Linked DNA regions of Rattus norvegicus. The protein of the gene in region 1 binds, or shares a complex with, the protein of each later gene. Links are inferred from orthologs where the notes say so. Each region holds a gene or a part of one and is shown in the gene's direction. Other genes may lie near its edges. The genes, in order: Med23, Med7, Med21, Med26, Med16, Med19 and Med18.

What was found.
Region 2: Med23 (region 1) and Med7 share a complex: the UniProt entries of both Homo sapiens proteins name them as parts of the mediator complex. The link is inferred for Rattus norvegicus from reciprocal best matches to the Homo sapiens genes MED23 and MED7.
Region 3: Med23 (region 1) and Med21 share a complex: the UniProt entries of both Homo sapiens proteins name them as parts of the mediator complex. The link is inferred for Rattus norvegicus from reciprocal best matches to the Homo sapiens genes MED23 and MED21.
Region 4: Med23 (region 1) and Med26 share a complex: the UniProt entries of both Homo sapiens proteins name them as parts of the mediator complex. The link is inferred for Rattus norvegicus from reciprocal best matches to the Homo sapiens genes MED23 and MED26.
Region 5: Med23 (region 1) and Med16 share a complex: the UniProt entries of both Homo sapiens proteins name them as parts of the mediator complex. The link is inferred for Rattus norvegicus from reciprocal best matches to the Homo sapiens genes MED23 and MED16.
Region 6: Med23 (region 1) and Med19 share a complex: the UniProt entries of both Homo sapiens proteins name them as parts of the mediator complex. The link is inferred for Rattus norvegicus from reciprocal best matches to the Homo sapiens genes MED23 and MED19.
Region 7: Med23 (region 1) and Med18 share a complex: the UniProt entries of both Homo sapiens proteins name them as parts of the mediator complex. The link is inferred for Rattus norvegicus from reciprocal best matches to the Homo sapiens genes MED23 and MED18.

Annotation. Positions count from the first base shown.
Region 1 is NC_086019.1:22,325,755-22,329,254, reverse strand, and holds part of Med23 (mediator of RNA polymerase II transcription subunit 23), read left to right. Parts: coding exon 1-160; intron 161-1,602; coding exon 1,603-1,745; intron 1,746-3,108; coding exon 3,109-3,283; intron 3,284-3,500. UniProt on the Homo sapiens protein: Required for transcriptional activation subsequent to the assembly of the pre-initiation complex. Component of the Mediator complex, a coactivator involved in the regulated transcription of nearly all RNA polymerase II-dependent genes.
Region 2 is NC_086028.1:31,353,695-31,357,836, forward strand, and holds the start of Med7 (mediator of RNA polymerase II transcription subunit 7), read left to right. Parts: upstream 1-1,342; 5' UTR 1,343-1,388; exon of another isoform or gene 1,389-1,936; intron 1,937-3,986; 5' UTR 3,987-4,142. UniProt on the Homo sapiens protein: Component of the Mediator complex, a coactivator involved in the regulated transcription of nearly all RNA polymerase II-dependent genes.
Region 3 is NC_086022.1:181,296,505-181,298,735, forward strand, and holds the end of Med21 (mediator of RNA polymerase II transcription subunit 21), read left to right. Parts: intron 1-520; coding exon 521-621; intron 622-1,244; coding exon 1,245-1,421; 3' UTR 1,422-1,731; downstream 1,732-2,231. UniProt on the Homo sapiens protein: Component of the Mediator complex, a coactivator involved in the regulated transcription of nearly all RNA polymerase II-dependent genes.
Region 4 is NC_086034.1:17,332,434-17,336,569, forward strand, and holds the start of Med26 (mediator of RNA polymerase II transcription subunit 26), read left to right. Parts: upstream 1-1,336; 5' UTR 1,337-1,604; coding exon 1,605-1,676; intron 1,677-1,700; exon of another isoform or gene 1,701-4,136. UniProt on the Homo sapiens protein: Component of the Mediator complex, a coactivator involved in the regulated transcription of nearly all RNA polymerase II-dependent genes.
Region 5 is NC_086025.1:10,452,273-10,455,772, forward strand, and holds part of Med16 (mediator of RNA polymerase II transcription subunit 16), read left to right. Parts: intron 1-1,023; coding exon 1,024-1,455; intron 1,456-1,890; coding exon 1,891-1,996; intron 1,997-2,027; exon of another isoform or gene 2,028-3,500. UniProt on the Homo sapiens protein: Component of the Mediator complex, a coactivator involved in the regulated transcription of nearly all RNA polymerase II-dependent genes.
Region 6 is NC_086021.1:90,167,692-90,171,628, forward strand, and holds the start of Med19 (mediator of RNA polymerase II transcription subunit 19), read left to right. Parts: upstream 1-1,137; 5' UTR 1,138-1,181; coding exon 1,182-1,398; exon of another isoform or gene 1,399-1,587; intron 1,588-3,937. Other genes in the region: Tmx2 (thioredoxin-related transmembrane protein 2 precursor), read right to left, coding at 588-776. UniProt on the Homo sapiens protein: Component of the Mediator complex, a coactivator involved in the regulated transcription of nearly all RNA polymerase II-dependent genes.
Region 7 is NC_086023.1:149,949,873-149,954,135, reverse strand, and holds the start of Med18 (mediator of RNA polymerase II transcription subunit 18), read left to right. Parts: upstream 1-1,463; 5' UTR 1,464-1,613; intron 1,614-2,333; 5' UTR 2,334-2,404; coding exon 2,405-2,477; intron 2,478-4,263. UniProt on the Homo sapiens protein: Component of the Mediator complex, a coactivator involved in the regulated transcription of nearly all RNA polymerase II-dependent genes.

The DNA of each region.
Region 1 (3,500 bases):
CAGAGTGTTTCACCTTACCTATGGGCGCTCTGGTAGAGACCATTTATGGCAATGGAATTATGAGAGTGCCTCTCCCCGGGACAAGCTGTCTGGCCTCAGCATCAGTAACTCCCTTACCAATGAACCTCCTGGATTCTCTGACAGTGCATGCCAAGATGAGGTGTGTTCCTTTCTTTATCTGGGAATTGATAAAGAAAAAAATGCGTACATATGTGTGTATGGTCTGGGCATTTAAGAGTGACTTCTTCACAGAAATGAATGCTGTTAACTGTAGAAGCTATAGAGTATGCAGAGGAGTGTGAGGCAGATGAGGACTTTATCCTTTTCACAAGAAAATGGAAAAACATCCTTGCATCTTTTTTTCAATGAGTAAATTTATGATTTTATATATTGTGCACAAAAATGTGTTGTATCTTGTTTTCCTCCCATAATAAACATCTTTTAACGTGATTTCCCCCCAAAACTGTTGTGGATTGCTACAACCAAGTTCCTCATGAAGCCTGAGCGGCCTCTCTGCATTGCTGGGAGTCGAGGGCTTGGTGGCTCCTTCCTATTTAAGAGATGTTGATGAAGGCTGCCTTACAGCACTCAGAGCGATGTCTGTAGTTGCGTTTGCCTTCAGTCTTTTTCTTACATTTTTTACTAAACAGTTTTTTGAAAGGAGAATTGCTGTGTCCCGAAATTTAAAGTGTTAAGGCTTTTGCCTTATTGAATTGTGCACAAGAACACTTTTAGAGTTATGTTTGTTTCCTGGAAGGCAGAAAAACCTCCGTTGGTACTGGACCTCAGGTGCCCAGGGTAGCCAGGCTGGAGCTGTGGTGTGGCCTGGTACAGCATGCTGAGAAGCAGGAGTGAGTGCACTGGAGGCTGGCGTGTGGAGGCACACAGCACAGCGGTAGGGTCTTATCTTGAGCTCACAGTTCGGTTGGTGAGTGGAGTAGGATGCTGTCTATCCTAGCTGCTCACAGTGATTCCTTGAGAAGGACTAGGCAATCCAAAAATGTCTGCTCTCAAGTGTTAAGTTCTGACGCAAACCTAAGACAGCACTGTATACAGGCCAAAGAAAACTGGCCTGTAGCTCCCCAGACACAGTGTCAGCTCTACAAAAGCCATGCTTTTTTACTCTCAGACAGTACACAGAGTGTCACTTCACTGGCAGATGTGACACATTTGAGCACAGCCCTGCTAGAAGCAAGCACGTGGGTCTTAGTAATAATTTATTAAATGATTTTGTGATGTATATGATAATGTATGGTGAATGTGATACATGTCGCTCTTCAAGGGTACTTAGTTACCTGTTTGAGCGACGCTAGCTAAAAGCACTCAGTCGTGCTCTCAGGGTTTGTGTGCAGGGCTTGCTTTGTCCTGAGCAGAAGGATCCCTGTGCACAGCCCAGCTACTGCCCCAGCCCTGAAGTCCTGTAGAAAGCACAGCGTTTTCCAGTTGTTCAGACGTCACTGCCAAGTGTCTGATACAGCTTAAGCCGGTCAAGTGAGCCAAGTCTGTCGGAGCCTTTGCGTTTCAGATCTGTAGGTATTTGCCACTGAGAAGAACAACTTCCTTATAGGCATGGGCTCTCTCATCTTCTTCTTTCCTCCTCAGCCTTATTCACAGCATTGCAACCAGAGTGATAAAACTGGCTCATACAAAATCCAGTGTCGCATTGGCTCCAGCCCTGGTGGAAACTTACAGTCGTTTACTGGTCTACATGGAAATAGAATCTTTGGGCATCAAAGGATTTATCAGTAAGACAAACGTCACTGCTGTTTCTCATGATTAACAAGTCAGTAATTCAGGGAACGGTCGTCCTCGTGCTGAGGACGCTGCAGGGAGGCCAGCCTGTCCAGACAGGGAAAAGCAGAGGATGGCAGATGCGCTGGGACAGACATGGGTGCGCGACAGGCCTCCCTCAGTGTCTGAGGAGTGAGGGAGCTGGGTGTAAGGAGCAGGCAAGGTAAGGGAACAAGGCTGCTGCTCAGAAGCCCCAGCAGGACGGGTACTCTCCCTGCACGGGTCTGGCCACAGGGAAGGAGCTGTCATCCAGTGCAGAGGATAACATCTGTTAGTTCAGGGATTCTGAGTGATAGGTACTTCCCGACTGGGAACACTTTTCTAACTCATTTCACCAGAAGTGAATCCAACTTTCTTTGGATAGAAGAAAGAATGAACAAGGAAAAACATTAGGTTTTTTGTTCTGGTCTAGGTTTTGACTTTTTCGAGATAGTGTCTCCTGTTGTCCAGTCTAGGCTGGCCTCTGACTCCTTATGTAAGAGAGTCTGGTTCTGAACTCTTGTCTCTTGCCTCTTGCCTCTGCCTCCTGAGTGCTAGAATTGTGTGCCCTGCTGTGGCTTGGCTGACTTGGCTGGCTGGCTGGCTTGCTCCCTCTCCCTCTCCTCCTTTTCCCCCTCCCCCTCCACTCTCCCTCTCTTCATCTCCCTCCCTCTCTCTGTCCCTCCATCCCTCCCTCCCTTTCTTTTTTTGGTGTTAAAAGGTGAGTCTGTTTTAGTTACACTAGTTGCAATGGTGTACACCTGTAGTCTCAGCTGAAGAGATTGAAGTAAGAGAATTACTTGAATGTGAAAGTTCACTGCCAGCCTGGGTAATGGAGCCCTTGGGTTCAATTGCCAGCACTAACTATCTACCCATCGACCTACTTATCTGTCTGTCTGTCTGTCTGTCTATCTATCTATCTATCTATCTATCTATCTATCTATCTACCTATCTATCTATCTAAAAATGAATTTCATACTCAGACGTCAGAAACCTTTGACTTTCTATAAAAATATCCAAAGGTAACTGGAGACGTGAAGCAGACCAGAATGGCTTTCATGGTTTTGATTGGTTGCTTGGTTTGGTTTTATTTTTGTGTGGTTGCTTTCATTTTATTTTTCCACATTAACTGGAGCCTGGCATGTTAAACTCTGGAAGGGAAGGATAAACGCAGTGCGTATTTAGGCTCTGCATTTTTTACCCCTACAAGTGGAAATATGTATATACGTGTGTGTCTGTGTTTGTAGTCGTAGTTTCACATACGTCCTGAGTGACAGTCTTCAGATATATACAGGGAGGTCCTTTTACTAACTGGTACCGGAATTCTGCCTGTGGTAGGTCAGCTCCTGCCCACTGTCTTCAAGTCCCATGCCTGGGGCATCCTGCACACGCTGCTGGAGATGTTCAGCCACCGGATGCACCACATTCAGCCACATTACCGAGTTCAGCTCCTGAGCCATCTCCACACCCTGGCTGCAGTTGCACAAACCAACCAGAACCAGCTCCATCTGTGGTGAGTGAGTAGCCTGCAGGCTGCCTCCCCTGAGGTTTAGCCCGCCCATGCTTGGAAGTGGGGATCTTAATCTTCCCCACCCCCACTTTTTTCTTATTTGCCATAAAATTTAAATTCTGCTTCTAAGATACTATAATTACAGTGAAAGATTGGAATCCAAGTTTTTAAAAGAAATTGGATTTGCATATGTGTCAAGTCCTGGTTAAAGCATCATTTT
Region 2 (4,142 bases), on another chromosome or scaffold:
TCTTTCGTTGCTTGCTCTCATTCTCACTGGCAACTTCATCTGTCCCACTGCTGTGTCATTCCTTTGCCAGTATTAGATCCAAACTTTTTTGGGATTCCAACACAGACTGAAGAGCAGCAGCTCTCTAAAAATCCTCCAGGCCTCCAACGCCAGGTGGGGTCTGCTGAGACATCCAGCCCCTTAGACTGAGCAGCTACGGGATTCTCAGCCTTTCAGGTTGGAGGCAGCCATTGTTGGACTAGTTGAACTGCATCTTGTAAGCCACTCTAATAAGTTATATGACATATATATCCATGTGTGAACACACACTCATTTGATCAGTGTAACAACCCCTGGTACACTTTCAGTAAGATAGTAATGCTATGGGCATGGGAAAAAGCGAAGAGCCCTTACCTTTGAGAGGCTCATACTGGACTAGAGGCGAACTGATGGGGAGCATATAGCTGTGGAAGTTGGTGATGAGTAGACTGTTCTTTCGCTTTTATGCCTGCAATTCTTCACATATTTAAAGGAAGAAACTGGGACATTCTTGTCTCTGAAGCAGAGCTGTTTTAGCAGAACAGTCTTATCTCACTTTTAATTTGCAACAAGCGTTCTTAAGACTCCCATGAGTTAGGACATCTGTTAACAATTCTTTTATATGTGTGGTGGGGGAAGGCCTAAATGGAAAGTTTTCTTGCTGGTCCTGATGGCTCATTTCTGAACCTCTGGCTTTCCTGAGGCTCGGAAGAGACATTTGAAACCATGTGTAGCCTGGGCTACACAGTGAAATTGCCCACTCCTTCTAATTTTAAAAATTACATTAATTTTTTTTTTTACTTGTCGGTTTGTGGAAGAATTGTCATATACATCTTTGAATTCCTAAATGAAAATAAAAGTGAACGGAAGGGGGAAAATGAAGGTGTAGGATGTTAGTCTTAATCATGTTCCCAAATATCCCCATGTATGTATGAATATATCATGGAGTACAACTTGCTTTAAAAAAATTTTTTTTGATGATAAGGTTAGCATTGATATTTTTAAATATTGCTTATCTGTATTTTCTGACTTATATAAGGCAAATATTTAATTTTAAGAGTCTTATATAAAGGGGGTGGGCGGCGAGGAGTCGAATTACTAGAGAGTACTTTCTTTTACTAACAAGAAGTATGAAGAAACACTCTCCTGACCTGACCAAGAAGATAGACAAGAGATCTTTTCCCGGGAGAAGCGGGAGACGCGGGAGTGCGCATGCGCAGTATCTTTAGGGCGGGAGTAGGACCTGCTATAGGACAGGCTTCGTAGCCAATTAAAGGCCCGCGTCAGAGGCTTCTTCCTGAGAAGGCAACCGGAACTTGTGCTTCCGCTGCGCTGAGGAAAAAGTCGCTACGGGAAAAGCTAGAGCTGAGGTGAGCCGGCGCGGCGTTTGGCGACCGCAGCCAGAGTCTGTCTCTCCGCCCCCGCGGTTGCGTCTTTCCCGGCGCCACGCCGAGGTCCGGCGCGGGACAACCTGGGAAGCCCGGGCTCGCCTTCCTCCCACGTCCCTCAGCGGAGCCTCCCCGGGGCCTGAGGCAGGCGGCTGGCCGAAGGTGCGCGGAGTGCGGCTCGCTCCGGGCGTCTCGCGGACCGGACGACGAGCCGGACCGGAGGTTGGGAGGTCCGAGTTCTCGTCCCCACGCCACGGGCTTTTAAAGTGTCGTGGCCTTAGCCTGCCCTGTCGGCATTAGTAAAATGATAGTAGCCACCTGGGAGCGCGGAGGCTGGGGGAGGGGAGGGAGAGCCTCGGGCGGATCTTATCCTGTACCAGACTTTACGAGGGACAGGGACCAAGTGAGCCAAGTGTCTGAGCTTGCGACCACTCCCCCCCCCCGCCCCCCAAGCAAATGCTAGAAACTGAATTTTGTTAGTGTTAGCAAGTGAGGACATCCAGCGGCTCTGAAAAGTTCAGTTTAAACCGGTGAGGGCGGTTTTTGTAAGGTGGCAGGCTCTAAAACGGGATGCTTGAGTTATCGGGGTTTGCACTTCCGCGCAACAAAACGAAACAGCCAAACAAAACAAAACAAAAACGGAGTACAAATTCCCGTTATACATTTTACCCACTTCTGCACATTGGAAACTGGCTTCTTGTTTCTAAAATCAAATTGGGAATAGTTGTGCCGTTAGGAAGATAGAAGTGAGGATGCCGGTCACTTATTAGAAACCTTTGGGAAATGGGAATTTAGTATGGGTGTGGCTAAGGGAAGCGCAGATCTCATCTTCAAAAGCCCTCAGGGGACGAAATTTAGGCTGGGTGTTGACTTGATGTGACTGCAAATAGACACTAGTATCTTAGGTATATATACCCTGAAATAGTTGAGTTGGACGACCTGAAGAATTTGAAGTGACTTCCCTCAGATTTAATGTATTCCAGGTGTACGGAACCTGTATGTTACTTTCCCCTGTTACCTTGAATCTCAGTGTGAAAAAGCGCTCAAGAATCTTCTCATTGTATAATGTACTTAAACTCAAATTGGAAAAGCAGAGGGTATTTTGACCATATATGTTGCAGTGTTGGGACTTAGGTGTTAAATTTATGTAGAAAAGATGTTAAAATGCCAATTGTCAATAAAACTGTACTATAAGATGTTTGTAAGATGAGGCTTCCCTCAGAAACCTTGGAAAATTCTAGAAGTATGAAATTTAACAAGTGATTTTTGTCAAGACGTATAGAGAATCTTAAGTGTTTGGTTTTGGAAATCACTGTACAGTAGAAAGCAAAGTGAGATTGATAGACACCATATGTAGTTTGATTATGGAAAAGAGAAATAAATAAGGCATATGACTTTGTATATAACTGTTCTTTCCCAGAGTAGGTTTCAACGTATGCCTACCAAAAGGAGTCAGGCATGAAAAAGAAGTATATCATATACCATGTATAAGCCCCCCAATACAGACCCTTTTCTCTTAGTTTTCAGAATATATGTTTGTTCTTTGAGAATTTTATACACACACACAAACATGTGTGTTTTGATCATGCTTGCTTCCTCACTCGTCTAATATCTTGCAGACCACTACCATATCTTACTCCCAATTTTATATATTTTTAAAATATTTTCTTGGTTTTTAAAGATGGATCTTTAGCACAGGCTGGCCCATGTAGTTCAAATGGGCCTTGAACTCACAGCTATCATGCTTCTCAATCATTAGGACTCAACAACCATCATGCTTAGGGCAGTTTAAAAAATTGTTTAAAAATAACAGTAAATAAAGTCCTCTGCAAACCCGCAGTGGACTCTGCTGCTTGTTTTCCCACTTTGAATGCTTTATTTACATTTGTCAGGTTATCTACAATGTGTGAGTCCTTAATGCTAACATCATTTTTTAAACAAGCAGAACAGATCTTACTGAACGATCATATGAGTGCTCTTTAACAGGTGAGAAGGGCTCGAAGAGATTAAAAATAATCGTAGGATTTCCAAGTGAGGCTGTTCCGTGTTCTCAGAATTTCCTTCATAGACAAGGTTTGCACACCTCGACTTGGGTGTGTAGTTAGACACTAGACATGTCTCATGGTTCTCACTTCTGTTATCCTCACTGCAGTGAACATGGCGATTCAGCATTTTAAAGCCTGATTCAGTTAAGCAACAACCTGTAGTCTTGGGTGAATAGAGTTAAGAGCCAGGACACAGCAGGCCGTAGGACCAGAGCAGGTATTGTAAAGAAGACATGGTACCTGGGAGTCCGTGACTAAGTATGTGTAAGTGGTGATTCTACAGTAAAAAGGAGCCTGCCATTGTCCACTGTCAGTTGCAGAAATTGTACAATGGGAATTTATACTTGAATGTTGGAACCATAACTCATGCTATCACAAAGTAGACAGAGGGCAGACCTTTTTGGAAGGCCATCTTTGTGTGCAACTTTCTGCACCTTCCCTGCTCTATCCCATTAGTCTAACAAGGGACTAATCAGATCTTCATAAAGCCATAGCTTTGCCTTATTTTTCTCTTCACTTCTTCCTCCTTTGCCAGGATTACCTGTCTCCCTAGGGTGAAATTAGCACACCTGTTGTCTTTGCTGGCCAACAAGTTCTCAATTTTTATACTTCCCATCAGGAAGCTTGAAGATAATATGGTCTGAACCCACAACGAACTTGTACTGAACATTGTACTTGTGTTGATCAGGCT
Region 3 (2,231 bases), on another chromosome or scaffold:
GTGCCCACCATAGCATGCACACAAGAGATCAGAGGATCTGGAGTAATTCTCTCCTTCCATTATTTGGGTTCTGGGTATCAAACTTCGGTCATTAGACTTGGTGGCACGTGCCCTTATCTGCAAAGCTCTCATTGGCCCAGGAATGACCTTATCAGTGTAATTCATAAGCCGCATAATTTTACTCATGTCCAATAAAGATTGCTACCTCCTTAGAGGAAAGTGTGTGTGAGTTAAGCTGAAGTTTGCTTGTGTGACCTTAATAAGAGAAACATCTCATCTATGGATTCCTTTCCTTAAAGTACCAATGTGTTGTCCTAATAAATAAAATGACGTGTTATGCTAATTCCCAATTTGAAGTAATATTAAATGTATGAATAATATTGACATGCTAAAATTATACTTTCTCAATTGGAATTATCATATAGAAAGCTTAGCTGAGCTTTTCTAGCTTTATTAATCGTATAATTTCTCCTTACGAAAGTGTAAGATTCTGATCGTTTAGCTTGATGTTCTTCTTCAGAGTATGCCCAGCTTTTTGCAGCACTGATTGCACGAACAGCAAAAGATATTGATGTTTTGATTGATTCCTTACCCAGTGAAGAGTCTACAGCTGCTTTACAGGTAAAACTCTTCTGATAAATTACTAGTAGTAGAGAACTTTGAATTAGGAGGTTATGATATTCAGTTTAATATTACATTTTAAATGGGAGATATTTGAGTTTTTATTTGGTTTTGTGAGTTTTTTCTTTTCATTCCTTTTTTTTTCTTTTGTGGTCAAATCCAGAGTCTCACATACTAGGCAGACACTCTTGTCTCTGAGCTATAACCTCAGGCTTACTTGGGAGTATTGTTACTGTGAGCTAGCACAGCCTCTGGAAGACTGTGCTGTTGGGTTGTCCAATTTTGACTTAAAAGGTAAGGTCAGGTGTGCTTGCGGTGGTACCGATGTTGAGCAGTCTCATCTTCGGCAGACGCCCACCTGACTTTAACTAGCAAAGATGAGTGGAAATGGCATTCTGAACGTGGAACAAAACAGTGTCTTCAAGAAGTGCTAGCAGAGCAGCTATATATACACTCCTGAATGTTCTCATTGAAATTGGACTTAGGATAACTCAGACAGAAAAATTAGGTTGATAGAATGCCTGCCACAATGATTGGAAAGGCATTCTGATCTTAAATAAACACTTGTGTTTAGTGTCTGTCCAGTTAATCTCTGAATGCATTAACATTCATGTCCTCCAAAGGCTGCTAGCTTATATAAGCTAGAAGAAGAAAATCACGAAGCTGCTACGTGTCTAGAGGATGTTGTTTATCGGGGAGACATGCTTCTGGAGAAGATCCAAAGTGCACTTGCTGACATTGCACAGTCACAGCTGAAGACCAGAAGTGTTACCCATAGTCAGTCTCTCCCAGACTCATAGCATCAATGGCTGAGATGTGACGGAGAAGAGAACTGTTTGAATGGCATTAAGAATGCCGCATCAGATGGAAGCCCTACGGACAGCTGTAGAACATCATATGCTATGACGGTGTTGCCTTTTTAAGCTAGTTTTCATTGTTTGCTGTTTTCACTCTTGATAAGTAAAAGACTTTACAATTATAACGGAATCATCTTCAAACATCATTATGCCATCGTTTTTTATCTGACTAGAATTTTCAGGACAGATACTGTACTAAGGTTCATGATATAATTAAACAGATATACAATAAAGCTCTTTGCTGTTTTGTGTATGTGGTTTGTTTGTCCTTTTTTGTGCAGTGCGGAGATGGAACCCAGATCTTGTGCATCTTGTGTATGCTAGGTAAGCGCTTTGCCACTGGGCCATATTTCCCCAGTTCTGACTTTTGTAGTACCATTGTAGCCATCCCACAGGTCAGAGGACCTCAAAGGCAGGGATGGGTTACATTTCAAGTTAGATAGGCGTCCTGCCCACCTCTCCAGAGGTGGCGCCGTGCTCATTTGTACTCCGAGCAGAAGTTTCTGAAAGTGTTTTAGAGAAAACAATTCGAGCAGACAGGAAAGTCATCTGTTCATTGGTGGGAAGCTTTCTCTTCCAAAATGTCACACATTCCAGTTTGTCTCTACCCTTGTCTTGACAAAGACATTTTTACTCTCCATGGAATTCCAGTGTTACTGTGAGAGATTTTTATCCTAAACCATGTTTAAATAATTTTAACCTACATCCACCATCTTCTTAATTTACATGTCTTCATAGTGAATTACATTTCTT
Region 4 (4,136 bases), on another chromosome or scaffold:
TGGGTGGGAGAGAACTAGTCTGGAACTCACTGTGTAGACCAAGCTGGCCTGAACTCCAGAAACCCTCCAGCCTCCCGAGCGTTGGAAAAAAATGCCTGGTTCCCCACCTCCCTCCAGCACTCCCTAGAAGTATAACAAATTAAAATTAACAGGTGTCCCGCAGCTCTCAGGAGTACATGTGATTTTCATTACCTGTTTCCCTTCCGTTTCATGTCTGGATTTTTAAGGTTACGACACAAAACGAAAGTTATTTCTCCCGAAGCCACTGTAATACAGTGCGCTAAACTCGGAGCCCGCCCTCCCACTCCACCTGCCGGAGACCACAGCCCTTATACTTGATATCCTTCGTTTCTTGGTTTGACCTAAAACTCACGGTGACCTTGGCGCTTCCCTTCCTCCTCGGTGAGGCGTTCCTGTTTTCCAGTGGCTGGGGTGCAAAGCAGGGATCGTTCCGTCCGCTCCGAATGCGGAGGGGACGATGCTGAGCGATGGTTCCGCATCCTGTTGTGCAGACAAAGACTGGCCACCTCCAGTTCGCCTCTCAGGAGGGCTACAAGAGCGGTGCTTCAACGCAAGGCCCTGGGTTCGGTCCCCAGCTCCGAAAAAAAGAATTAAAAAAAAAAAAAAAAGAGCGGTGCTTCTTCTTGAGTTCCAGCCCCTCGTGGATGCACAGCCAAGGTGTCAGCGTCGCGCATGCCTTGCAGACTCGAGCCCTCGGCGGAGGCGGCAGCTCCCATACGTGCCCTTAGGTCCCAGCAGCGCGCGGGTCACATGGGGACACTCACTGCCCTGCAGATCCGCGCCTGGGGCCTCTGCAGCGGCGACGGCTGCGCCTAGATTCTCCGAGCTACTCGCCGCACGGGTCTCAACGCAGACAACCGCTGCCCTTCTTAGTGTCCCTATGGCCGCTCCAATCCTCTGATTCCTCAAAGCTAGAGGTCCTCATCCGGTGGAGGGTCTTACCATTCCGCAACCCCAAAGCAGTTAGCAGGAAGAGCCGGTGTTCCAGGACTTGGCATGTGAGCTTCCGTTAGGAAGCCCCGCCCCCTAGTCCGGAGTGGGCGTGACCTTCGGATAGCGTCCGTTGCCACGCCCAACCGTCTCCCAACGGCTCTCTGGATCCGGCCTTAGAACCCGGCGGCAGGACCTGATAAGTGCGCATGCGTGCGCGTGCGCAGAATCAATGGGCGGGGCTCACAAGCCGGCCCCTCCCAAACCCGGCGTCTCCACCCGCCCCCATCTCCCAACCTCCTCAGCGTGGCGCCGACGCTGCGTGCGGCGCGGGTTACCCAGAGTGCTCAGCGCGGGGGCAGCTCACTGGAGTTTGGTTCTCGAGGCGGCGGCGGCGGCGGTAGTGGCGGAGGCTTCTCCGTCGGCTCCTCCTCCTCCTTGCTCGGCGGTGGCGGCGGCGGTCCGGGGCCTGAGCTCCGGTCCCCTCCGCTTTCCTCCGTCCTCCGCCATCTCCCCGAGCGCCTCGACCTCCTCTGGCGCCGCGGGGAACATGCGGCTCCGTTCCCGGAGGCCGGCGAGTGACTGACCTGCGTCCCCCCTCCTCAGCCTGCCCGCCCGCCGGCCCGGCCGCTCCCCCCCGCTTCGCCCAGGCAATGACAGCGGCTCCGGCGTCTCCGCAGCAGATGAGGGACCGGCTGCTACAGGCCATCGACTCCCAGAGCAACGTAAGTGACTGCCGCGCGATCGGGGACCGAGGCCGCATGTGTCGGGACCCTCCCCCTCCGACGCGCCCCTGCCAGGGGTTCTCTCCGGGCGGTGATCTGCCCGCCACGGCCGCTGCCATCTCGGTGTCTCGTTCTCCTGGGTCCGGAGGCCGAAGGCAAGGCGGGTACCCCGGCAGCTGAGGGTACCTGAGGCCGAGGCTTCACGCGGCCTGGACTGAGGGATCGTTCGGAGCTTTGATGAGAGCTGGTTCTCCTCGGTTGTCCCAGCCCGGCTGCCCTTGGTGCTCCCCACCGTGCCCTTCTTGCCTCACCCCAACCCCGGGAACTGAGAACCCCCCGGAAAGGTCTCCCTGCCGGGGGACAAGGTAGAAAGCAACTGGTGTCTCCGCGATGACTCGGGTAGCCCGCGTCTCTGGAGTCTTGGCCTTTACTCCCCCTCGGTCTTCTAGCGAATCCCCTTCTTGGATTCGTAGGGAACCCTAGGCCTGTTCTGCCATCAGTCTGTCTTCCTGTGATGCCTGGAGAGTATCCTCTCTTCTGATAGTGGGTCGCTTCCTAGAAAAGACGACTCTGCAGAGAGTGGGACCCTTCCTGTCACCTCTCTTGGCCTAAATGCTCCATTGCGCGTCTGACCAGTAGCTAAAGCCTGGGATTTTAGTACTGAAATACTGCCGATCACAGTAGATTGTTCTCTTATCCCTATCTTCCGGTCCTCTTTCCATCTCTCTTGCTCCACCTGAGGTGCTTTGGACTCTAGGCTGTCAAGATTTAATTGTAAGGGATCACACTTTCCTCTGTCAAGAGTCCTGTGAGCAGTAGGACGCCTTTTTTCTTCCTGTGTGAGTGTAGACTAATTTTACTTGTTCTTGTATTTTTTCCAAAGGTTTGTTGGCAGTGCAGGGGGCGGGTGTCCTTGTTGCTGTCAGGAGTAGGGCCATGGGAAGATGCACAGGCATTCAGATATGAAGTGTTTGCTGGGAAACCAGGAAGTGGCTTTTGAGATCACTTTTTAATATGCCCAGGATGGAAGAAAAAAAATCATCTTGGACCAGGTAACAGAGGTTTGAACCTTTTTGGGTTCCCTTGCCTATGCTTGGCTAGTTACTTGTAGCAATGTGCTGTATTGTGTGTTCAGAATAATTCACATTGTTTGTGTGGTCTTGGTAGAAATAGAGATGTTCTAGTTTCTATGAGAATCTACTTGCCAGATTCAAAATTATTCTCTTCCTAGTCTTTAGGATCACGTCGATAGTAATTTAGTAAATATTGTAGACTTTTTTTTTTTTTTTGTGGTGGAATAGAGACAGGCTAGATAAAAATCTTCTAGAAAACCTTTCTTTTTTGGGGGGCGGGTTTAAGGGTTTTTTGTTTTGTTTTGTTTTTTGCCAGTGATTGGTAATAGCTGACTAATCACATGATTGATATATTAGGATATTAAAAGGTAAAAATAAGTGATAGGAAAACATAGCCTTGATGGCTTTTGCATCTTTGCTGAAGCTATAGTGTATAGTGTAATCTTTTTGATGTTGTTTTTCGAGAAGGGTTCCTCTTCTGTGTAGGTCTGGCTATCCTAGAACTTGCTCTTTGACCATGCTGCTGGCCTCAGAGATTCTCCTGCCTTTTCCTTCTGAGTGCTGGGATTAAATGCTTGCACTATCACTGCTCCTCTCTTCCACATTGTAAATCTTACACCTGTGTAACTCCTTGCTGAGATCTTCTCAGAGATCCTGACTGCTTGCATGTGAGAGTGTTGGGATCAGCAAGTGCTTTGACAGGTAGTCATGATGTTGTAGATCAGGTGGGGTCCAAGTGCTAGGTAAGGGTCTGACTAAAAGACCCTTTGGGGATAGAAGAAGGAAGATAGAGGGCCCAAATTTTAGTTTGTGTCTTTTTTCTGAGACTGTCTCTGGAAGTCACTATGTATGTAAACCAGGGTGTCCTCACAGAACCTGTCTGCTTTTACCTGCTTTAATCCCAAATGCTGGGATTAAAGGTATGTGCCACCATGCTTGGCCTCCAACTTTAGTTTCTTGAATCTTCCCTTGGTCCTAAGTGCTCATTGGCCTGTGAGTAAGTTGCTTGGAGTGTGTATCTCAAAGGGCTGTAGTGATAGGAGACCTTGTTGTGGCTGGAGTTGAGAACTTATCTCTGAGTGAGGAGGGGAGTGTTTCCCTAGATGCAATGTGTCAGTGACTATCCACAAAAACAACTAGGTATATGTTCTAGGGGCTAGCTTTGCAGAATCTCTTTGTAGAATCAGCCTGGAGCACTGTCCTCCATTTCTTGCTGAGGGGTGCCCGGCCATTTGCATTGTCTCTGTGATTGTTCAGGGCCCAGGTAAGAGCCGCATGTTGGTGCAGGGATCTCTGCTCTTGCTCTGATCTGCCCAGTTATGAGCTCCACCACTTGGTAATTGACACATATTTAGGATGTTCATGGAAAAAATACAAAACGGGGACA
Region 5 (3,500 bases), on another chromosome or scaffold:
TCATTGTGGGTTCTTTACCATGTTTGCTATAGCAAATCATCCTTTCCCCCGTGTCTGCTTTAGCGAGACATCCTTTCTCCTGTTTGCTCCATCCAAACATCATTTGCCATAACTAACTTTCCAAAGAACTAGAAGTTCCCACTTGAGGACCCTACACCTTTCTCTGACACCCACAGACACCTCAACCCAGGGTAAATGCAACTCATCTTTTGCTGTCGTCGTTCTGGTTTTTAAGACAGGGTTTCTCAGTGTAGCCCAGGCTGTCCTAGAACTTGCTCTGTAGACTGGGCTACATTCAAACTCAGAGATCTGCCTGCCTCTACCTCTTGAGTGATAGGATTAAAGGTGTGTGCCACCACCACCCAGCTATAAATCTTTAAAAAATTAATGTGAAAATTGTATTAGCTGGGCAGTGATGACCCACCCCAGTACTCTACCCAGGAGGCAGAGCAAGTGGATCTCTGAGTTTGAGACCAGCCCAGTCTACAGAGCAAGTTCTAGGGCAGCAAGGGCTACACAGAGAAAACAGTAACAAAAAAGTTTTATTGAGCCGGTTATGATAGTGATAGTGCATGCCTGTCATCCCAGAATTTGGAAGGCTGAGGCAAGACGATAACTTTGAGTCTAGCCTGGGCTATGTACACTGTCTCAAACAAACAAGGTATGTTTTGTATGTAAATTACATCAATTTGGAATTAGAGACTGTAAAGAGGAGTAGCTGGCACTGAGGCAGCACTCCACAGAAAATACACACTGCCCCCTGCACCACAGTCAGTGCCATAGCCATCTTGCTGCCTCTGCTGCAGAGACAAAGGCTGTGAGGTCACTACAGAGAAACTTAAAGTACTCCTATAGTCCCCTGAGAAAAACGCTAATGCTTGCATACTATAGAAGAGGAGACTGAGGTCAGGGTACCCCCCATTCATGCAGTGCTCTTGCTACATTGTTGCTCTTTGGGGGTTGGTCACAGAAGGCAGCCCCCAAGAAGCTGAGCAAGCCCTTCCTCCTATTTCCCCTTCTCAGTCTGGTGCCTCCAGCTTCGGAGAAAAGTTCTCCCGGGTGAAATTCTCCCCGTCTCTCACGCTGTTTGGTGGCAAGCCAATGGAGGGTTGGATTGCGGTGACAGTCAGCGGCCTGGTCACTGTGTCCCTCCTGAAGCCCAGTGGGCAGGTGCTGACGTCCACGGAGAGCCTGTGCCGGCTGCGTGGCCGAGTGGCACTGGCCGACATCGCCTTCACAGGCGGTGGGAACATCGTTGTGGCCGCTGCGGACGGCAGCAGTGCATCGCCCGTGAAGTTCTACAAGGTGTGCGTGAGCGTGGTGAGCGAGAAGTGCCGCATCGACACGGAGATCCTGCCCTCGCTGTTTATGCGCTGCACCACCGACCCCAACCGCAAGGACCGGTTCCCCGCCATCACACACCTCAAGTTCCTGGCGAGAGACATGTCTGAGCAGGTGAGCTGTGGTGTCGTCTTCAGCTCAGCCAGCCATGTCCTGTGGTGGGGTCAGAATCTGACGGACCTGGTGGGAGCAGGGAAGGTTCCTGCTGGTCGCCCAGGGAGCGTCAGCGTCCTTTGGCTAGGGGTGCCTTCCTCCGTCTGCCTCTTGCCCTCCTGCCTCACCTTCCATGGTGAAACCAGGTCTGAAGGATGCAGGTAAATCCCCTTTCCTAAGTTCCAGCTACCACAGAAGGTGGCCTATCTGGGGACATGTCTTGTTGTGACCTGTCCACTGGTCAAAGGGTTGTCCGGCTTTGTAAAATCACACAGCCGCAAACCTCTTGAAAGCCATGGCACATTTGTGCTGACAGTCCTGTGTGGAGCCATCACCAGAGGATACACGGGAGGTGGGTGCTCCAGGAGACACCCCCTCACTGAGCCCCACCCTCAGGTGCTCCTGTGTGCATCCAGCCAGACCAGCAGCCTAGTGGAGTGCTGGTCCCTTCGGAAAGAGGGCCTTCCTGTGAACAACATCTTCCAGCAGATCTCGCCTGTGGGTGAGTCGTTCAGGGTTCCCTCCTGAGGGAAGCTCAGGGCTTTACTCATGGCTATTGGGGTTCAGACAGGGTCTCATTCTGTGTCCCTGGCTGGCCTTGAATGCACAGAACTCCACCTGCCTCTGCGATGAGAATTCTGGGATTTGGGATTCTTTAAAAACACAAACACGGAACTGTTATCTTGTTGTAAGCCCAGGAGTGAGATGTGGGGCTGCTTCAGATGTCCACAGCAGCTGACTATGATTTATGCTGACTATGATATGCTCTAGCAGAGGCGTGGTTTTGTTAGCTGCAGGTAATTTCTAAGATTGGGTGACATTTGGAATTCTGGGAACTTTTCAGAGGGTGCATACATGCCAGGGCTCTGAGAGCTGGGGTTGGTTGTGGTTTGTTAGCAGTTGTGCTCAAAGAAGAAACAAGAAAGGAAAGAAATTCCGTTCAAGGCTCTCTTTCTCTCTCACCTCTCTCGTTTCTCTCCTATCTAGTGATAGGACTGAAATGGGAGTGGGGGTGGCAAAAAGAAGAACCCACAAAGTAGCAAAGGCTGGCTACATGCCTCTGCCTCCTGAGCCCTAGTATTAAAGGTGTGGCCTGTTAATTTACCTTCCACAGTCCCGGGGGCTGTTGGCTTCTTGCCTAGAGTAGGAAACTAAGGCTCCAGAGCCCTGGTAAGGACAGCCTGGGAATGAACACACACTACACACACACACACACACACACACACACACACACACACACTACACACACACACTCATACACACACACTACACACACACACACTCATACACTACACACACACTACACTCACACACTCACACACTACACACACACACACTCATACACTACACACACACCATACACACACCACACACACACACTCATACACTACACACACACCATACACACACACACTCACACACTACCTACACACACACACTCACACACTACACACACACCACACACTACACATACACACACACACACACACACACACACACACACACACAATGCATAGGCCCTGGGGCAGGGGGCCAGCAACCAAGGGCTGAGCCTTGGAGGGGCACCCACAACTAAGGGAGGCATTTTACTTTGAAAGCCATGGAATCATCTAGAAATCCAGGTCAGAGAGAAGGCTGGAGTTGAGTGGAGTGGAGCATCTTTACCAAGACCACGCAGGACAGCACTCCACAGGACACTTGCTTACAAATGGTGACTGCCCAGGGGATAGCTACTGAGGCTGCCCCGCAGTGCCCTGGCTCAGCCCTGCATAACCTTCCCCACAATACAGAAAGAAGTGAGGCTGGAGGGAGGGTGCGGACCCTGTTGCTGTGGAGATTGCTAGAGGACCTAAGTGGCCTCAAGAGGCCCGTGCTGCAGTTACAGTAAACTGCCCTTTGTGGCCAGCAAGTAATTAAATGTGAATAGCATCCCCGCTGTGTCTCCTGCAGATGGCTGTGAGTCACCAGACAATCTGGGCTCACTGGTGATAGTGGGCAGCCCCACA
Region 6 (3,937 bases), on another chromosome or scaffold:
AGCTCTATGTCCACAACCTTCACGGTAAATGTTAACTGTTCTTAAATATTGCTTCTTAGATGGTTGATGGGCTTCCCCCCACCTCGTATTTTTGTAACCTTCCCTGTTTTCCTATCCCACCTCAGGAAGATAGTGCGCACAGTTGTTATGCCCAGAGCAGACGATTTTTCCACCAAAGTCATTTATTTTGTTGAGTCAGTGACCTATGTCTGCCGGTCTATCAGAGAATTGATTAAGGTTAGACAGCACTTAGTGAACGCTGTGTTACCTTGAAAAATCGCCTAACTACACTGTGATCACTTCGTTAAAAATTAGAAAAATTTAAATGGTATTTCTACCACGGGCCTAGTCTTCGTCAGTGGCGCCCCAAGGAACTTGGAATCACAGAAGAATATTGTTCATCTGTGATGGAAACCCTGGAATCTGTTTCTCCATCTTTAACACGAAGGTAAGGACTAGATAACGGCCTAGGCTCTCCACTCAAGTGTGTAAGCTACACTCGAAACCCGCCCTCCCATCTTCACATGCACCTGCAGGGCAGGGATGGATGGTCAAGGTCGACAGCTACTAAGGCAGGGGGCGCTCACCCAGTCAAAGTCACACGGGTTGCCATCTTCGCGCTGCGTGGGGAGACCGTTGCAAATCGGCGGCAGCTTCCTCACGAGGAGGAAAGCAATGGAAAGCAGGGCAGACAGAAGGCAATAAGGTCTGGCCAGCCATCGAGAAAGCCGCGGCACCGAGTACACCAAGGCAATCAGAGGCGCGAGGACAGCCATCTTCCCTGCCTACACTCTTGCAGGCTCACTCCCGCTCCCCAAATCGTCGTCCTCCGCCCCCAACAGCAAGGCTTCTATTGGGCCAAATATCAGATGCAACGCCTCCAGACCCGGATGTAGATCTCTTATTGGGTGCTATAATAGATCGGAAAATGAATTAGATAGTCTATTGGTCCTCATAATTGTCGCTTTTCTACCTGAGTCATTTTATTGGCTATTAGTCTGTGAAACACTACCTGAACAATCTCTCAGGGCAAAGGAAGTAAGTTGCCGGAAGATGGTGGGCGGAGCTTAGCGTATCCAATGATGGGAAGCTGTTAAACCAAGAGGGTGGTACCCTGTGAAAGTGCTGTCCAATGAAAGTAATTAACGCCAGATCCCGGGTAACCAAGAGCGGCGAGTGCTATGGAGAACTTCACAGCCCTGTTCGGAGCTCAAACTGACCCCCCACCGCCACCAAGCGCACTAGGGTTCGGGCCTGGAAAGCCTCCGCCGCCACCCCCTCCTCCTCCGGGAGGTGGTCCAGGCACGGCTCCACCTTCGACCGCGACCTCGGCCCCCGTGGGAGCGGATAAGTCCACGGCTGGAAGCGGTCCCTTCTACCTTATGCGGGAATTGCCAGGTGAGTAGTGGGCCAAAAGTAGCCAATCAGATAATAGTTTAGGTGACCGTTGTGGCTAGCATCCTGCAGCGCAAGGTGTAAGATAACAGGGCTACGGGTGGCCAGTGGGCAACAGTGTCAGAAGCCCTTTGGCGATTCACAACTCTAAAAGATAACTTGATTTCCCGGGGTGGGTTTGGGTTGGGTGTGAATATCTGGGACTACCTCTAGCGAGAAGTTCTGTGATCCGGGTTCTCTAACCGCTGTTTGTGACTCTATGAAAACGAGCCATTGTTTGGAACTCGGGAGACCTGATTTAACGTTTCTGGAGACAGTAAGATTTTAGTTTAAAGTCTGTCACAAACTTGTTGGTTTATAGCAAGTTGCCTTCCTCGTCAGGGACTTGGAGATTAACCCGCTCAAAGAAAGGACTAGAATTGAATCAATTCTTACATTCATAAAGTTAGTTATTCGGGAAAATTGGGGGGGGGCGTGGCTCAGTGGTAGAACTCTTGACTGCCATGCATAAGGCGCGTGTTCACAGAATCATCTCTGAGTAGGTAACATTCAAGAATAAACAAAGCCATCGGTCCTTGGACAGAGAGAAGATACTAGATAGAAGAAACTACATCAGGAGACCTGTTTTGGAGGGGAAGATGGGGGGGGGGGTGCTTAGAATATCTGAGGGGCAGAAGACACATTGAATTCAAGGAAAGGAACAATTCCAGTACTGATGGAAAATAGGTAGAGGCCTTTATAAGGCAATGTAGGTTTAAAGTTCAAGTTGAAGTCAATTTCAACATGGGGGGGGGGGGGAATGAGCTAATTTAGTGATTTTTTTTTTTAAAAAGATATTCAGCAGAAACATAAGTGAAAATGGGGTAATCAGAAATCAGTGTTCCTAAAAGAGAATGGTTTGGACCAGGACTTAGCAGTAGAGAAGCAAATGAATACAGGATACATGATAAAGGTGAAGCCTACAGAAATAAAGAACTAAATATAAACAGAGGAATTGTGGGTGTTCTGTACAAAGGTTATAGTAGTCTGAGAGTAGGAAGTTATGGAAAGAAAAAATTTGAAGAGCTAAAAATCAAGAGGTGTTCTGGATATGTTAAATCTTAGGGAACTTGTGGTACTATATACCAGCACTCAGGAGGTGAAGGCAGAAGGTTCTGGAGTTCCAGCCCAGCCTAGAGGACATGAGATCCTGCTTCAAAAAAAGAAAAATAGAAGTTCAGTTATCCCAATTAGCTATTAGCACAGTAGTTTAAAGTTCACATCAGTGAGGTGTGTACAATATGTAGCCCTTTTAGATAGATAGGTATTATATTTTATAGTTGAGGACTGAAGCATAAAGAAATAACTATATGTGCTTTAATGACAGGTGTCTTCCAGAAGTTCTCTTTTTCCTTATTTTAGTTGTTTTGCCTCACTATGTAGCCCTGGCTTGTCTCAAATTCACTGTAGACTTGGCTGGCCTTGAACTCACAGAGATCCACTTAATCTCAGCCTTCAGGTATGTGCCACCATGCCCAGCTTCTTCCAGCAGTTTATCTTTTGCATTTCCTGTTCTGATTATGCCATTTATATATAAATCAGTTGATAAATACTGAATCTCCGAGGCAAACGCTGGGTATGGTGGGATTCTGAGAAGGGGAGATTATTAAGCCGGGTTTTTACGTAGCTTACTTTTTGAGATCCATAATACATGGTTTAAGGATGGTGCTTGTATCTTTGTGGGTGTCTGTTTACTACTTTATAGTCATGCTTCACACAGGAAGCAGTGTTTAAAACTACCTGATGGTTTTCAAAATGTGTTAGCCAAAATGACAGCAATAATAAGATGTCATTTGAACTGAACTCTGAAGAATTTATATAGGCAAACAAAATTAGAAAGTTATTTTCTCAAAGGAAATAGTGGTACAGTTTTGTTGCTGTTTTCTACCCAGAGGATACGTAGATCTATCTGGATACATTAGAAATTTTGCAGGAAGATTAGTAGTTGATCAGGCTCCAAAGTTAAGTTGTAATAAAATTTGATTAGGAAGGCTAGGGATGTAGTTTAGTTGGAAGAGTACATGCTTAGCATGCATAAAGACCTCTATATTCATTCTCCATACTTGACAAACCGGGCTTGATGGTATATTTCTATAATCCCAGCCCTTGGGAGATGTACACAGGAAGATCAGGAGCCCAAGGTCATTGCTGGCTACATGAGACCTTGCCTTGAAAAGGTCCATTGGAACTGTAAAGATGACTCTAAGGTCATGCAGTTAAGGACATTTGATGTTGTCCAAAGGACCAAGCTTGGTTCCCATAATCCATATGGGAGCCTCACAATTGTATGTAACTCCAGCTCCAGGGATCCCAACACCCTCTACTGACCTCCATAGGCACTCAAATAATATGTGGCATACATCCACACAACACAACACACACACACGCGCACGCGCACACACACACACGCACACACACCAAATAGGATAAAAATAAATCTTTCAGGATAAATCAAGAGGCAGGTTGATCTCTCAGTTCAAGGCTAACTTGGTCTACCTAGTGA
Region 7 (4,263 bases), on another chromosome or scaffold:
GCCTGAGGTAGACGGCCTTTGCGGAAATGTTATGGGGTGAGGGGTTCTGGAGGATTAAGGGTGCCTCACTCTATGTCCGTTATGTGTTTGGCACATGTACAGAGTTCAAGAAGAACTTGTTGAATTTAGAGTCTCTATCTAGCCATCCATTTATCCATCCAGCTACGTATCTCTCTACCTACCTACCTATCTACCTACCAATCAATCAATCAACCTTCTATCTAATTATCTACCAATCAATCTATCAATCAACCTTCTATCTATGTATCGATCTATCTATCTACCTACTACCTATCTATCTAATGTATATGTGTGCCTAAATGTATGTACACCGTATATGTCCTGTATAGATGCCCATGGATGCCACATGAGGGTGTCGGTTCCCATGGAACTAGAGTTACAGGTAGTTGTGAGACACCTGATATGGGTGTTAGGGACTGAACCCAAGTCCTCTGAGGAACAGCAAGTGCTCTTAACTGCTGAGCCATCTCCCCGGCCCCCTAGTTATTTTATATTTTGTGTTACGAGTGTTTTGCAAGGGTGTATGTATGTGTACCACAGGGATGCAGTGAGTGATGTGGTCAGAAGAGGTAACAGATCTCCTGGAAGGGGAATTATAAATGATTGTTAGCCACCATGTAGGGATTGGGGACCTCTGCAAGAGCAGCAAGGGCTCTTAACTGCTCAGCCATCTCTCTAGCCCTAATTAATTAATTTTTGGAAAAAAACCCTCAAAATATTGTTTAAGTGTTGAATGGCTCTGCTGGAGAGATCCTTACCGCAGCCTCCTGAGGTTCTCAGATTCGGACTGTGCCTGGTCCCACGTATTTAAAGTTGTGGGTATGCATGGAAAATCGAACGAGTTTGCTGTTGTTCTGTATTAAACTTATGGCCTTGCACATACCAGGCAAGGCTCTAGCACTGAGCTGTTTCTCCAGACCCTTGAAAGCACACAAGAAAATATTGTTCCTGCTGGGGTCTATAAATACACAACGCTGTGCTTAGCGTTTCCGATTTGAAACATACTTCCCTTCTTTTTTTAAATTTAATTTAATTTTTAACTTACTTTACATCCCGCTCACTGCCAGCCCCCACCCCACCCCCCTGCCCTTCTGATCTTTTTCACTGCGACTCTTTCCCTCCTCGCTCCCCCCAGTGGCTGAGTTCAAAATTTAAATATTGTATCCAATCAGTTTCAAGAGATCTGATCAAAACATCCAGGTCGCCGAAGCTGAAAAAAAAACAAACAAAAAAATCAAAAACCGTTTCCTAGAGCTGTCCTATGACGTAAAGGCCTACAGTAACCTTCCAGTGTACCACTCTAGACTAGGACCCCAACACCGCAGCGGACCCGCACTCTGCGCGTGCGCTCTTGCACACCGGTGCCAGAAGGCGGGCGCCTTCCTTGCCCTCTCGGCACCCTTACTTTTCGGGGCGGTAGCGAAGAAGTTTCCTGTCCGTCAGCTTCCTACCGGAAGTGCTGAAGGGAATGTTTGGCGGTTTCTCTGGATCTGTGCAGGAGGGATTTGGGGGTGCGGATTGCGGGTGTGCACGCGTGGATTTAAGTCCAGCTTTGCATGGATCTGTAGCGCGAACGGAGACGTGTTGCTAGTGTAAGTGCACACGTGTCCCGGATCCCCGAGTGGGAGGACCGGTGCAGTCACTTTAACTTCATGTTTCCCGCCTGGCTCGTTTGTAAAGGCGTTTTCAAAAAGGCAGAACCAGTTCTAGTCTGATCCCGGCGTGTGCTCTCACTGAGTCTCCATGGCCTCTGCATAGAACGAAGGGTAGACAAGGTTCTTAGGTCTTTTGGTTTTTTTGAGACAGTCTCACTGTGATGCCCTAGTTAGCCGGGATTTGCTATATAGACCAGTCTAGCCCGAAGCCGCAGTTGTCTTCCTAACTCTGTCCCCGAGTGTTGAGATTACAGATGTTCCCCTAACACGACCGGCTTTTATTTCTTTATGTTTGGAAAGGAGGCCTCTCAGCGTAGACCAAAGTGACGTCACCTTTTTTGAATATGTATGTCGGTTCTTTCATTTGAGCCGCATGGGGGTGGGGGAGGGTCTGTGTGGTTATATGCCCCGGGGTTATTTTAAAGGAGCAAGAGGTTGCATAGCTGCCTCAAGGTGACATAGAAAAACTTTTAGAAGGTTCAGAACTTGAGACTAGATGGTCATTCTGGATCACCAGGGCCAGACCTCTCTTGTTTCTGCGTCACCCGTTCTTGGAACCGGCTGTATAAGCAGATATTCAAAGTTATGAATGAATGAGCTTTGGTTTCAAGGCCAGTGCCACAGAAAACAGTGGATGGACAAATGTGACTCTTCCAGGTGTATCCCGTGCTTCCCCGGTTGGAAGATCTGTTTGCAGTTCTGTCGTCTTGAACCTAATTAGAGGCATCATGGAGGCACCTCCAGTCACCATGATGCCAGTCACTGGGGGCACCATTAACATGATGGAGTACCTCCTGCAGGGTAAGTCAGCCACGGAGCATGCATTACCAAGTTTTCGTTCCTTTTCTTGTTAAAGCAAGTCAAGATGACTTACATAAAGGCAACTGCACGGTTCCTGTCACCCAGTAATTGCGTTTAGAAGAGGTTGGGTGGGAAGATGGCTCAGTGGCCAGAAACTCATTCTGTAGACCAGTCAGGCCTCAAGTGCCTGTGATCACAGGTGTGCTACACTTGTTTACTCTCTCTCATTCATTCCCTCCCTCCCCCTTCCTCTCCCCTCCCCTCCCCTCCCACCTCCCACCTCCCTTCTCTCCTCTTCTTTCTCTCTCTCTCTCTCTCTCTCTCTCTCTCTCTCTCACACACACACACACACACACACACACACACTCTCACTTTGTTTCTCTAAGCAGGGTTTTCTTCGTGTAACCCTCACTGTAGTAGAACTTGCTCTGTAGACCAGGCTGGCCTGGAACTCAGAACTACGAGGTCCACCTGCTCTGTCTCCCAGGTGCTGGCATCACAGGTGTGGGCCACCAGCACCTGGCTTTCATTTATTCTCTTTCATCTTGAAAAAGTAAAACTCAGGGCGAGGAGAGACCCTTACAGAAGTCCTTGGTTCAATTCCCAGCACCCTCACGGCAGCTCACAACTGTGTGTAACTCCAGCTGCAGAGGAGTTGATGTGATGCCCTATTCTGGTCTCCATGGATTCAGGCACACAGGTGGTTTACAGATAAACTGGAAGACAAAACACTTCCACACGTGAAATTTAAAAAAGAAATAATAAAATTAAAAAAAAAATTAAAACTCATACTGAGTCTCCCTCTCTCCCAGCTCTTTTATTTATTTTTTTCTTTTTTTTTTCTGCTCTTTTATTTTTTTTAAGATTTATTTATTTATTTTATGTATATAAGCACACTGTAGCTGTCTTCAGACACACCAGAAGAGGGCATCGGATCCCATTACAGATGGTTGTGAGCCACCATGTGGTTACTGGGATTTGAACTCAGGACCTCTGGAAGGGCAGTCAGTGCTTTTAACCACTGAGCCATCTCTCCAGCTCCTCTCCTAGCTCTTAACAGTTACCTTTCCACTGTATTTCCTTCCTTGGCAACTTAGATGCCCCACATGAGTGAGGTCCCTGGTTTTGTGACTGACTTATTTCTCATAGCATTATGTCCTTGATAACCTATGACACGATTTAGGTTGTTTTTGTTGTTTGGAAACAGGAGTATCACGTAGCCCAGGCCAACTTATTTTTTTTTTTTCAAATATAATTAAGATTTTTCTTTTAGGATTTTAAATCTTTTTTTTTTTAAGATTTATTTATTTTATGTATACACTGTCGCTGTCTTCAGACACATCGGATCCCATTACAGATGGTTGTGAGCCACCATGCGGTTGCTGGGATTTGAACTCAGGACCTCTGGAAGAGCAGTCAGCACCCTTAACCGCTGAGCCATCTCTCCAGCCCTAGGATTTTAAATTTGTATGAGTCTTTGTGAGTCAGAGGTCAGACAAGTGTGTCCAGTTCCCTGGAAAGGAATTGTGGGTGATTGTGAGCCACGGTTTGGGTGCTGGTGGAAACTGAGCCCAGGTCCAGTGCTCTTAGCTACTGAGCCACCTCCCCGACCCCTGGACTGACTGGCTCTAACATCCCTCTAACTGGCTGGATGGCCATGGACAGTTGGGACCTTCTGCCCTTCCGTCCTGAGTCTAACTGCATACATGTACTGTGCATGCTGACTGGACTGTCTCTGAGATCTAGCCTTGTTATTTCGCTTTTCATTCATTTCCGTATGGGCCTC